3 linked regions of the Tribolium castaneum genome follow. The protein of the gene in region 2 purifies or fractionates together with the protein of the main gene of each other region. This does not show direct contact. Links are inferred from orthologs where the notes say so. Each region holds a gene or a part of one and is shown on either strand. Other genes may lie near its edges. The genes, in order: P32, tral and eukaryotic translation initiation factor 4E transporter.

Region 1 (4,316 bases), about 2.4 Mb from region 2:
AGAACCAAACGGCAAAGGTACGTAATGGTTCGTTCTCACATTCAAACGGTCAAAATACTGCAAATCACGCTTTGATGTAACGAAAAACCGAATTTAAAACCCACCTTTAACAACAAGGGCCACTTGGAACTGTCCAACTTTGCAATCACTGAGGAGGGCTCCACTGCAAATTCGGAGCCTTTTTGAAGGTTCCCCAAGTCTTTGTCGCCCTTGCTTTTCTTCTTTTTCTTCTCCCTAACGGGCGTATCCGCCTCTGCACAAAATTGCGTTCTAAATAACGATAAGACAAAGCGGCCGGTTTTTTGAAAAAAATCATTATTTTTGAAACTCTAAATACATTTCTACCACTAATTATTTATCAAAGAACGAAATAAAGCCTCGTTAAAGATAATAATAAACAATAACTTACCAAACTCAGACATCGCTTAGAAAATAACCAACACGTGCATCCGACACAGAAAGTAGGGTTAGTTTTTTGACAACTAACAACAATTTTGACAGATTTTAAGTGGCGCTACTGAAAAAAATTTAAATGAAATAAATGGCGGGAAATGTTTTTTCGGTTATTTAGAGTCTTAAACGATTTTTCTTTTATTTTTTTTATTTTATTTTGGTAAACATTGGCGTTTTTATGCGCTGTAATCGGTGTTTAAAAATTTAAAAAATGTAAAAATTGCAATCTTTTTTTTTGTGTTTTTTTTCGGAAACACTGAGACTTAGAACTAAAATCAAAAAAGCATCAGATAGCGCCTAAAATTATCTATTTTCTTGCCAAAACCCGGAGCCGCTTCGGTCAACGGTTCCAGGTACAGAGGCATATAAAGTTTTACATTAAAAAAATATTTATCAAAAACCAAAAGTCTATTGTCCATTTTTTATTTCATTTAAAATTTTGAAATTTTTTGCTCAAAATTTTAATAATCAAGGCACTTACCTTCACAAAAATTAAGAAAAAAAATTTAAACTCACTCTAGCAAAGTTTTACGAACTTTTTGGCAAATAACTCAGAATGTGTTAGTTAATTACAAAACTTAAAAAAAAATGCCAATAGTTTTAGAAGAAATATAACATATGACGCAACTGTAAGTACCCTTCTATAGCTGTTTTTTTTGCAAAATTATATACGGTAACCCGTTTGCAAAATGTAATTTCAATTTTTAGAAGTTGATTACTCTACATTTTTCCAATTCAATCCAGGATTTTTTTTAAATATTAAAAATCGTTCTATCGAAGAGTTTTCTAAATTTTTCATTAATTTTAATTTTAGACCACAAAATTTTAATTACTATAAGAAAACTGGCCAATTATTGTCCGGTTTAACATTTTATCTGGACACCGGACAATCATCTGGGTGAAAACCGGACAGGTGTGGCAACCCTATGAGGAATTTGGTGACGATTTAGTGATTATCGTTTGTGGGTTGGTGCCATTCTGGGGATTTTCGTAGCGTTGGGTTGCGCGTCGCTTTTTTCTGACAGTTTTTTTGATAGCACGTGTTGTGGCCGGTTTTTTCACGCATTTCGCCTAAACTAAGTATAAAAATGAATAATTTGCTTCGAGTTGCGTCCAGACTCAGCTTCAAGACGCTCCTGAGTCCGGTTAAAAAAGTGTCCAACACTTTCCAGCAGCGGCAACTTGCGCGCAATCTTTGGTACATGTGCAATCGCAATGAGTCCGAAAACAAACTGAGCAAGTTGTGCACTTGTGGGTGCATGAGCAGGCACCAGCATGCACACAGTAAAGGTACGTAAGTGAGCCCAATAAGTTGGAGGAATAACAAACTTGTAGCCGAACGTGAACTGGTTGAGTTTCTCACTGAGGAGATTGTCCTGGAGAGGAAGGCCCAGAAGTCGGTGACGCTTCCAGCCGAGCTTGAGGGTTTTAAAGTGGGGTTGAACGGGTCTGAAGTCACTTTGAACAAAAAAGTTGAAAATGAAACGTGAGTCAAATGCGTCTCATTTCTTGTTATGAAGTGGCAACTTCTAGGATAAAAATTACTTTCAATGTGAACCACACAGTAGACTCTGATGAACTACCTAAAGTGGATTCGACGATGGACAATCCAGAATTTGGAGAATTAAAGTCAAAGCCTGAATTTCGAATTGAAATTGTGCGAGGGTCGACCACTTTCAGTGTTTTGTGCTCATTTTTAGAAAGTGATGAGCAAGAGGAAGATTCTAGTAAGACACTTCTGTTTTTAATTCACAAGATTTTGCACAACTTTCGGCTCAAAATCTAATCGAATGAAACGCCATTTGGTGATAATTTTATTCGGTTTTAGAGGATTAAAAAACGCTTCGAACACTAAAAAATCATATATGATAGCATTTTTGTGAAGATATGCGAAATCTTGGAATAAACTAAGCCCTTAGCTGAAAAAAGTTCAACCTGATTTAGCAAATTTTCGGCTTATTTTTCGCAACAAAATGTCCTAAATCCCCCGAAAACGCAAAAAATTGGGATGTTTTAACCTTACTGAAAGATTTTAGGATTTTAGCTCTAATACATCCTTTTTTGGTTAATTTTTGACGATTTTCTTCGAAATAATTAAGTTTTTGACGAAAAAACGTTTTGAAACGCTCAAAAAAAGGCAATAATTAGACAAGAATGTGCAAAATAAATGCGTCTTTGGCTCAATTAAGAATGAAATCGAGGAAATCAATCTCAAATAGAATATCATGGTCAGTATGATTTGGTGTTTTTTTCAACTAGTTTTGGAGGATTGTAATTCGAAAAAAAAACTGCTTTTTGGCGTTGTTTTGCAATTCTTCGGCTTCTTGTAACTAAATTTTGCAAAACAACTGCGTTTGTAATCTAGAAAACCTGTTAAAACTCCCAAAAACAATACAATGATCGTCTATTTTTTATTCAGTTTAGCGAAATTGCGGAAAAAAACACGCTATTTTCAGGCTAGTTTACTGATTTCTCATCTTTTTTCTTAAAAATAATTGTTATTTATGGTCGAAAAACGTGCCAATATGGTTAAAATTGCTAAAAATAATGCCATTTTGACCTGATGCTTTGTTTGGTAATTCTTTTTTGTAACCAAATTTTGAGATAACTGCTTTTTAAAACTTCCAAAAACCAAAAAACTACAATGATCACCGGTCTATTTGTTTATTCAGTTTAGCGAAATTTCTCAAAAAGTACGCTATTTTCAGACTAATTTAGTGATTTCCCAGCTTTTTCTTATAACGTTTTGAAAAATTATTGTATATTTCTTGTTTGAAAACGTGCTAAAATGGTTAAAATTTGTAAAAATAATGTCATTTTGATCTAATTTTGGCTTTGTTTGGTAATTTTTCGGCTTCATTGTGACCAAATTTTGAGAGATAACTGTGTTTTAAAACTCCCAAAAACGCTACAGTGATCACAAGTCTATTTTTTATTCAGTTTATTCAGCTATTTTCAGGCTAATTTACTGATTTCTCATATTTTTTCTTAAAAATAATTGTTATTTATGGTCGAAAAACGTGCTAATATGGTTAAAATTGCTAAAAATAATGTCATTGTGACCTAATTTTGGGTTTGTTTGGTAATTCTTCGGCTTTTTTGTAACCAAATTTTGAGATAACTGCTTTTTAAAACTTCTAAAAAACCACAATGATCACCAGTCTATTTTTTTATTCAGTTTAGCGAAATTTCTCAAAAGTACGCTATTTTCAGACTAATTTAGTGATTTCCCAGCTTTTTCTTATAACGTTTTGAAAAATTATTGTATATTTTTTGTTTGAAAACGTGCTAAAATGGTTAAAATTTGTAAAAAAATGTCATTTTGATCTAATTTTGGCTTTGTTTGGTAATTTTTCGGCTTCATTGTGACCAAATTTTGAGAGATAACTGTGTTTTAAAACTCCCAAAAACGCTACAGTGATCACCAGTCTATTTTTTATTTAGTCTATTGAAATTTCGTTATTTTTAGGCTGACTTAGTGATTTCACAACTTTTTTCTTTTGTTTTGAATATTTCTGGTCGAGAAACGTGCTAAAATGGTAAAAATTATGTCATTTTGATCTAATTTTGGCTTTGTTCGGTAATCCTTCGACTTCTTTGTAACTAACTTTGCAAGATAAATGCGTTTCTTGTTTATAAAAACTGTTAAAACTCCCAAAAACGCTACAAGTTTAATGAAATTTAGAAAGAATACGTTATTTTCAGGCTAGTTTATTGATTTCCGATGTTTTTTCTTACGTTTTGAAAAATAATTGTATATTTCTAGTCGAAAAACGTACTAATAAAACGGTTAAAATTGGTAAAAATAATATCATTTTTTACCTTTTGCGATTTTTGTGTCCAATTATACGGAAAACTCGCAA
Region 2 (4,232 bases):
CGAAACCACAGCACTTTAACTGTTACTCTTAAAAATTAATAACTTGAAGAATGGAAATACTAGTCCAAAACAGTTTGGGCAGGCAATTAGGCATAATAACGACAGTGGCGCCATCTCTTTACTGTTGCTCCACCAAACCCAAAGACTTCATAAAAAAGTGCATTCTATATCTACTGGCTTTGGTTTCGCCCCTTAATTTAAGTCCTCCACACTTCTGACGCCAAAATAAATACCTGGAGTGGTCAAGTGAGCTGAGAATACCGTTGTGGCTCCATGGGTTTTTAGGGGGGTGTAACTCAAGATCTGAGGCTTTGACTGACTGTTCAAGGGCGAAAACCAACGCACCGGCGCCCCCAGCCAACGCTCCCAAAGTCCCTATTAACTAAATTTATCAACGTAACAAATATCCCACCCAAACTGGCCAAACTTACAGCTTTTCGGCCTCTGGTCCATTCCCTCGTAGTCGAAAAGGAACTGATCTAAAACGTAATCGCAACATTACATAACCGCTAAATGCAATTAAATCCAAAAAATAATCACCAACTAAGAAATAAAGTGATGACATAACGTCTCATAAGAACTCGAATAACGTGCCGATTTAAAGTCCGTTTTTTGGCAAATGGTCAATAACAAATCTTACTGCGCTGGTTTCGCGAAAATGAGGGGTAACTTACCTGAGTTACTGTTTTACCGCAGGAGGGTTTCAGAAGTCCAGCCCCGCAAATCCTTCCAACACTCGCAGCCATGTTGACTAAGGGTGGTCACAGGTCAACAGAATCCCCGTCTAAAAACCGATGGGACTTGAAATATGCAGCAAATGCATAAACTGACGGAGAAAAGCCAAAGTTTATCCTTCACGTGAACGACTTCGTTCCAAGGGAAGGATAACAGAATTTTGACAGCTTTACGTAATAGGCACCGTGGGGATTTTCACTCCGTTTGGGTGGCACTTGCCACCAAAAGGCGCCTTGCATTTGAACAAATCAACTTTTTTCACACTTTTTGAGGCCCTTTAACTACCTGGAGCCCCCACACATCGTATATGATTATGCATTAACCCACTTAAGAGTATATTACAGCCGAGTTATTTTTTTTACTTCGAACTCGTCATATTGGCAGTAGTGCAAAAAACAGTAGCGTCCCGTAACAACGAATAAATGGGAGATTATTTATTGAATAAATTTTGTTACGTCAAAAGTTTTAACACATAACCCATCACTGATTTAATAGTGTTACGTTTTATCGTTTGTTGTAATAAAAAATCGCTACTAGTTGTTGCAAAAATAGTGAAAATTTTCTCCCCGCCAGTGGTCTAACGGTTGGGTTTGTGGTTGTGGCAGGCCTGCTTTGCGTCATTCGCTCCAGCTGTTTTGGGTACGCCATTTGAGAATCGTATTTTCGAAATAGGTTGAGTTAAATGTTAATCGTTTAAAATCCTCGTCATCCTGTTCGTAAAGTGATTTATTCAGAATGAGTGCTGGTATGCCGGAGATTGGCTCCAAAATAAGTCTAATATCGAAAGCCGATATCCGGTACGAAGGACGATTATTTACAGTAGACCCCAAAGAATGTACAATTGCCCTATCTTCCGGTAAGTTGGATTTTCTACTAATTTACACCCAATTTCTGTATGATTGTCGGAAAGCGCGCCCTAGAATTGCCTTCCGGGCCGAATTGGAGTCAATTCTGGCAAAACTTTTTGTCCCAAGACCGAGATAATTGTTACTTAATGCTTTTTTAACTAATCCGTTGTTAGTGGAATTGTGCTGCTGGAAGTAATGACCTCGCGAGAGCTGCCCGAAAAAGCTATCTAATCTGTTTTTTTGCGGCGAAAAAACTTCAAGAATCAACTTGTTTTTGTCCAGTTGAGGCGCGAATTTCAAACTGAACTTTTAGTTATAAACGTTATCAAACTTCGTTTGTTACTGATATGATCACATTTCGGGCGATGTAAAGAAATGTGCTGTATACAAAAAGCAGATTGAGTTTCTTAAATTAAAAAAAGATTATGGGTAAATTGAAAATGTGTTTTTTTTAGATGTTCGTTCATTATTCACTGGTTTTCAAGAACTTACTCTTTTTATTACTGAGTATAACTTTGATATCGATGGAGTGTGAAACGTTTTTAAATGACAATACTATCACAGAAACTGTTGGTATTGAAAATTACAGCAACTGTAATTCTTAGGACGGGTTTATTGAAGGCTTTTTTAAAATTTAATTTGTTGTTACAATTTAATTCGTTTTTAAAACTTAACAGCGCGAATGGACCAATCAAATCTGTTCAATTTGGTCACGTGGTCAGTTAATCACGCATTTAATTGCGTGATTAATTTAATTAACCGACCCTTAGGGCCGGTTTATTAAAAGCTTTGTTAAAATTTAATTCGTTGTTAAAAGTTAACAACGCGAATGGACCAATCACATTTGTTCAATTTGGTCACGTGGTTAGTTAATCATTGATAATTTATTAATTACTCATTAATTTAATTAATCGACCCTTAACTATTTTTCTTGATTAGTGTTAAATTCGAATCAACCTCGTTCACAAAAAATCACAGTATAAAGTTAGCTCATTAATTGATTATTTTGAAGACTTTCTATTTTTTATAACTTATAACACCTTAATATCAGAACATTTTTATCCTAGCTGACTTCATTGTTGATAGTTTTAGAGATAATTAGCTGTAGAAATGTTTGTATAGTTATAAATTTTTGCAATTAATTAAGAACCAACTCGCATTACTCAGTTTTCTAGCTCACTAATCGATTTAATGTTTTGTAACAATCCAGAAATTGTTATTAATTCTGATGTTAATGCTGACATGGTTTCTGATCACTACTTAGTATTTTGTGATTTAGCTTTTTCAAAACAGCATATTAGCTGTTTCAAAACTTTCAAGAAATGCCAACGTGGCATTTTACCGAATTCTTTTTTTAAATAAGGTTGATGAAAATGTAAAATAGTTACTAATGGTAACATCTCTCATTGAAACTATTAGCTATTATCTTTTTGAAGTGTATGAATAGTTATCCCAACTAACTTTTAGGGAAAATGCGACGTTTGCCTTTCTATAGTTTTAAAACAGCTAATAGAGTACCTAAATTGATTTCTTACAGAAACTTAAACAAATTTAATTATCAAATATTTTTAAATGATTTTTAAATACTAATGTGCCGGATTCGGTACTCTATTATACTACCCTTGACGACGAAATCGAATTTCTATCTAACGTGTAACGATTCGATCTTTATGTGCCTTTTGTAATACCTTAGTTTACACCTGTGACTGAAAAAATGTGAAAAAATGATAAATGAGCGTAATTCGGCAATGACAAAGTACAAAAAAAAACAATACTAACGATTGGATTGCTTATAAACATTTACGCAATCTGACTGTAAATTCAATAAGGCAAGAAAAGAAAGCATATTTCACTACTAAAAGTAAACAATACGATAAAAAAGAAATATGGTTAGTTTTACGTAATTTAAACATTAAATCAGGAAAAAGAAACGACATAGTTTTATCAAACTTCAATGTGGATGATGCTAATAATAATAATTTTGTTGTTAGTATTTAGTCCGTCAGATAATTGTACTAATTCCACATTCTTGTTAGTAGCAAAAAATTAAATGTTAATAGTTGTTTTTGTCTTGTACTTGCTTGTATTGATGAAATACAACAGATAAATGATAATTTAAAATCTAATGCTTTTGGTGTTGATCTTCAGCAAATACAGGGTGTTAGCGAAATAAATGCATTCCTTTTAACCTGTGACAGTACACATCAAGGATAACAAAAAATCTTAGTAACATCCTTGCGAAATGAACGAGAGAAAAATACTCATTATTATTATTTTTTATTACCCACTGTCTTCTAATAAAAACAATTCACCACTAAAAAACAGTTGTTGGTACTAAACCATCCACCAAATTTGGAACCTAAGGGTGTAGCCGTTTTTGAGAAAAAAAGCTAAAACTATTTTTTTAGGCTAACTTTTGATGCGAATAACTCTGCAGGGGAGTTCTTTTTCGAAAAATTTTCTAAGAAAGACATTCCGTAAAATCACTTGTAGAACACGCTTTTGAAAGGAATGCATTTATTTCGCTAATACCCTGTATGTTGAAATGATTTTCACCTATTTTGACGAAATTTATTGCTCATATTGTTAACTGTAGCATTGAGGTTGGATATTATCCTGAAATGTGGAAAACCGCTTTAGTGCGTTCTC
Region 3 (3,651 bases), on a different chromosome or scaffold from region 2:
TAAATTTTATGGAATTATTCGTTTGTGAAATAAAAAGACAACAACACAACAATAAAATGGTCCTACCTTTCGTATCGCTTCCACGTTGGCTATCGTTTGTAGCATTAAAATAAAATTAAAAACAACGCCAAAAAAAGCTTTATTTGCATTAAATTTAGAGCAAGCCACTTTCATTCATTGAAATTAAAGAGAAAATTATTAAGTGGCATTAAATTGTTTGAGTGTTTTATTTTATTTAGTTACTGAATTTAAAACGCGTCACTCAAACTTTGACTTTTCAACACCGTATTTAGCGCCGGTGTACTCAACGTTTTATTTGCAATTAAATTTTATGGAATTATTCGTTTGTGAAATAAAAAATACACACACAAATAAAATGGTCCTACCTTTCGTATCGCTTCCACGTTGGCTACCGTTTGTAGCATTAAAATAAAATTAAAAACAACGCCAAAAAAAGCTTTATTTGCATTAAATTTAGAGCAAGCCACTTTGATTCATTGAAATTAAAGAGAAAATTATTAAGTGGCAATAAATTGTTTGAGTGTTTATTTTATTTAGTTACTGAATTTAAAACGCGTCACTCAAACTTTGACTTTTCAACACCGTATTTAGCGCCGGTGTACTCAACATTTTATTTGCAATTAAATTTTATGGAAATATTCGTTTGTGAAATACAAAATACACACAAAAATAAAATGGTCCTACCTTTCGTATCGCTTCCACGTTGGCTACCGTTTGTAGCATTAAATAAAATTAAAAACACCGCCAAAAAAGCTTTATTTGCATTAAATTTAGAGCAAGCCACTTTGATTCATTGAAATTAAAGAGAAAATTATTAAGTGGCAATAAATTGTTTGAGTGTTTTATTTTATTTAAGTTACTGAATTTAAAACGCGTCACTCAAACTTTGACTTTTCAACACCGTATTTAGCGCCGGTGTACTCAACATTTTATTTGCAATTAAATTTTAACCAATTATTCGTTTGTGAAATAAAAAATACACACACAAAAATAAAATGGTCCTACCTTTCGTATCGCTTCCACGTTGGCTACCGTTTGTAGCATTAAATAAAATTAAAAACACCGCCAAAAAAGCTTTATTTGCATTAAATTTAGAGCAAGCCACTTTGATTCATTGAAATTAAAGAGAAAATTATTAAGTGGCAATAAATTGTTTGAGTGTTTTATTTTATTTAAGTTACTGAATTTAAAACGCGTCACTCAAACTTTGACTTTTCAACACCGTATTTAGTGCCGGTGTACTCAACATTTTATTTGCAATTAAATTTTAACCAATTATTCGTTTGTGAAATAAAAAATACACACACAAAAATAAAATGGTCCTACCTTTCGTATCGCTTCCACGTTGGCTACCGTTTGTAGCATTAAATAAAATTAAAAACACCGCCAAAAAAGCTTTATTTGCATTAAATTTAGAGCAAGCCACTTCATTGAAATTAAAGAGAAAATTATTAAGTGGCATTAAATTGTTTGAGTGTTTGATTTTATTTATAGTTACTGTATTTGAAATGAGTCACTCAAACTATGACTTTTCAACACCGCATTTAAAAAATTAAAACGCACGACTGCTACCGTTTGTAGCAAGATAATGAAAATAAATTAACCGCAAATGAAAAAAAAAAAATGCACTGACCTTTTTAATCCGGATTGTTGTTTCCTTCTTGAAGACCATTCCATTGGCACTAACACACACTACACTAACCGCGATCACCGAATTTAAAATTTAAACCGAAAAATTTAGATTTGCTCGAGCACACGTCCGTTCGCGACAACGGCAAGTAACAAACTGAATAATTTAAACGAAACGGCACAATAATTTAAATAAACCGCTCGTCTCGCGCTCCCGAAGTGACCCGTGCCACTGCTCGATGCCGACTGAAGCGCTCTCGCCTACTGCGACGCACACCTAACCTCGGGACACGTCACGGACGTGACGTCATTATATGTCTAAAACAGTTCATCACCAGAAACATACATTCACATAATTCGTCGAAATTAGAAACATTCATACACAGAATTATTCAAAATAGAACAGTATTGACCTAGAAAAATTAATTATAACAAATGTATTTGTCTGTAAACGTCTAAAATTATAAAAGTTTCGCATGCTGTTAATGGAAAAATAAAAATGCATGTTGTTATTTTAACAGAACCTGGCAATGTGAATTTTGGTGCGAAAATTAGTGGTATCGCAATGCGTATATCCACAAATTGTTTGTTTGGTTTGTTTTGTTGAAAATTCGGTAGGTTCGAAAAGTAGGGTTATGTTGTTACCTGGAAATGACAAAATTTCCACTTTTATCCATTTCTGCCCTTTCAGAGCGTTATGATAGGATATTTAGGGCAGAAATAACTACCTTGTGTCAAAAATTTATGTGCTATTGCCAAATAGAGACAAAGGTTCAGAAAATAGGGTTATGCGCTCTTCTGAAGTGTTAGATTTTAACTTTAATAGATTTTGTGTGCTTTTCTGCTCTTTTAGGGCGTTATTATTCATTGTTGAATATGTTTAAGGGCAGGCAAATCTACCTTTGAGTCAACGACATAAACTTTAGTGTGATTTATTGAAATAATAGGGTAAAAATTAACTTCTCGTGTTAAAAAAGGGTGTTTAATCGTTTATAAAGGGCGTGTTAACGTGTGTTAAATTTACCACGTAATAAAACAAAAGTACAACAACTTTTCTATAAAAGCATTTTGCAAAATTTTTATTCATTATTTTCACTATTTTCCTTCTTTCCTTTGTGCAAACGAGCCGGTGATGTGAAATTTTGGTGTGAAAATTAGTGTAATTGTAAATTTAATCTCTTTTTCGCCCTGTTTCAACGAATTTTTCTCTCAAATCAGTTCTTTTCAGAACGCCATAATTGTGTGTGTGTGAAAAATTAACACACGCAAATGTGATCTGATATCACATTCTAAATCATTTCTACAGAGCATATACTACAGTAAAACCTCTCAACAACGGACACCGGAATTGTCCGGTGTAGAGAGGTGTCCACTAATGGGAGGTTGGAAATTTTAATATAGGTTTTGTTACGTTCCTACAAAAATGTCCGTTGTGAAGAGATGTCCGTTAAAAGAGGTTTCAGAAAAATTTTGGAGGCATCACCTTGTACTTTATTAAATAAATAAAACTACAGCGCCTGGCGTTTTTTAAAAATTAAAAATTATTTTTTAGGCGAATCCCGTGACGAGGAGCCCGAATGGTTCTCATCCGGTCCGTCTTCCCAAAACGATACAATCGAATTGCGCGGTTTCGACGATTCGGATCGTCTCGGAAAGAAGAAAATGTCACCGTCGCAAGCGAAACGCGCACGCGATTGGTTCAAAAAGAAGACTGAAGTGTCGAGTGTGACCGAAGAAAAGGAAGAAATGAGCGAAGGTGGTCCCGGTGGCCGGTCAACGCCTACGCCGCAGAGCGGTTCAGGTGAAACAATCGGCGGGGAACAAACAAATGAGTCAAACACAAACGCGTCTGAAAGTGGAGATGGTGACGGAAAACACAATCAAGAGAAGAATCTGAACGACCAATCGTCGATTTTTGAAGATATCTTGAAGTCGGATAGTATTCCCGGACTGCCAGGGTTGTTAACTGTGAGTTGTTGTTTTTTTTTTAATTATTTTTTT

What was found.
Region 1: the proteins of tral (region 2) and P32 purify together in Homo sapiens (affinity purification with mass spectrometry; 3 studies listed by BioGRID and IntAct, with this or other methods). This does not show direct contact. The link is inferred for Tribolium castaneum from reciprocal best matches to the Homo sapiens genes LSM14A and C1QBP.
Region 3: the proteins of tral (region 2) and eukaryotic translation initiation factor 4E transporter purify together in Homo sapiens (affinity purification with mass spectrometry; 3 studies listed by BioGRID and IntAct, with this or other methods). This does not show direct contact. The link is inferred for Tribolium castaneum from reciprocal best matches to the Homo sapiens genes LSM14A and EIF4ENIF1.

What each region holds. Positions count from the first base shown.
Region 1 is NC_087394.1:7,764,739-7,769,054, reverse strand, and holds the start of P32 (complement component 1 Q subcomponent-binding protein, mitochondrial), read left to right. Parts: upstream 1-1,445; 5' UTR 1,446-1,541; coding exon 1,542-1,743; intron 1,744-1,788; coding exon 1,789-1,939; intron 1,940-1,986; coding exon 1,987-2,180; intron 2,181-4,316. Other genes in the region: Nop60B (H/ACA ribonucleoprotein complex subunit 4), read right to left, coding at 1-57, 105-253, 410-422.
Region 2 is NC_087394.1:10,178,862-10,183,093, forward strand, and holds the start of tral (protein LSM14 homolog B), read left to right. Parts: upstream 1-1,331; 5' UTR 1,332-1,470; coding exon 1,471-1,591; intron 1,592-4,232. Other genes in the region: cytochrome c1, heme protein, mitochondrial, read right to left, coding at 234-382, 432-479, 675-746. UniProt on the Homo sapiens protein: Essential for formation of P-bodies, cytoplasmic structures that provide storage sites for translationally inactive mRNAs and protect them from degradation. Acts as a repressor of mRNA translation. May play a role in mitotic spindle assembly.
Region 3 is NC_087401.1:14,104,394-14,108,044, reverse strand, and holds part of eukaryotic translation initiation factor 4E transporter, read left to right. Parts: intron 1-3,202; coding exon 3,203-3,618; intron 3,619-3,651. UniProt on the Homo sapiens protein: EIF4E-binding protein that regulates translation and stability of mRNAs in processing bodies (P-bodies). Plays a key role in P-bodies to coordinate the storage of translationally inactive mRNAs in the cytoplasm and prevent their degradation.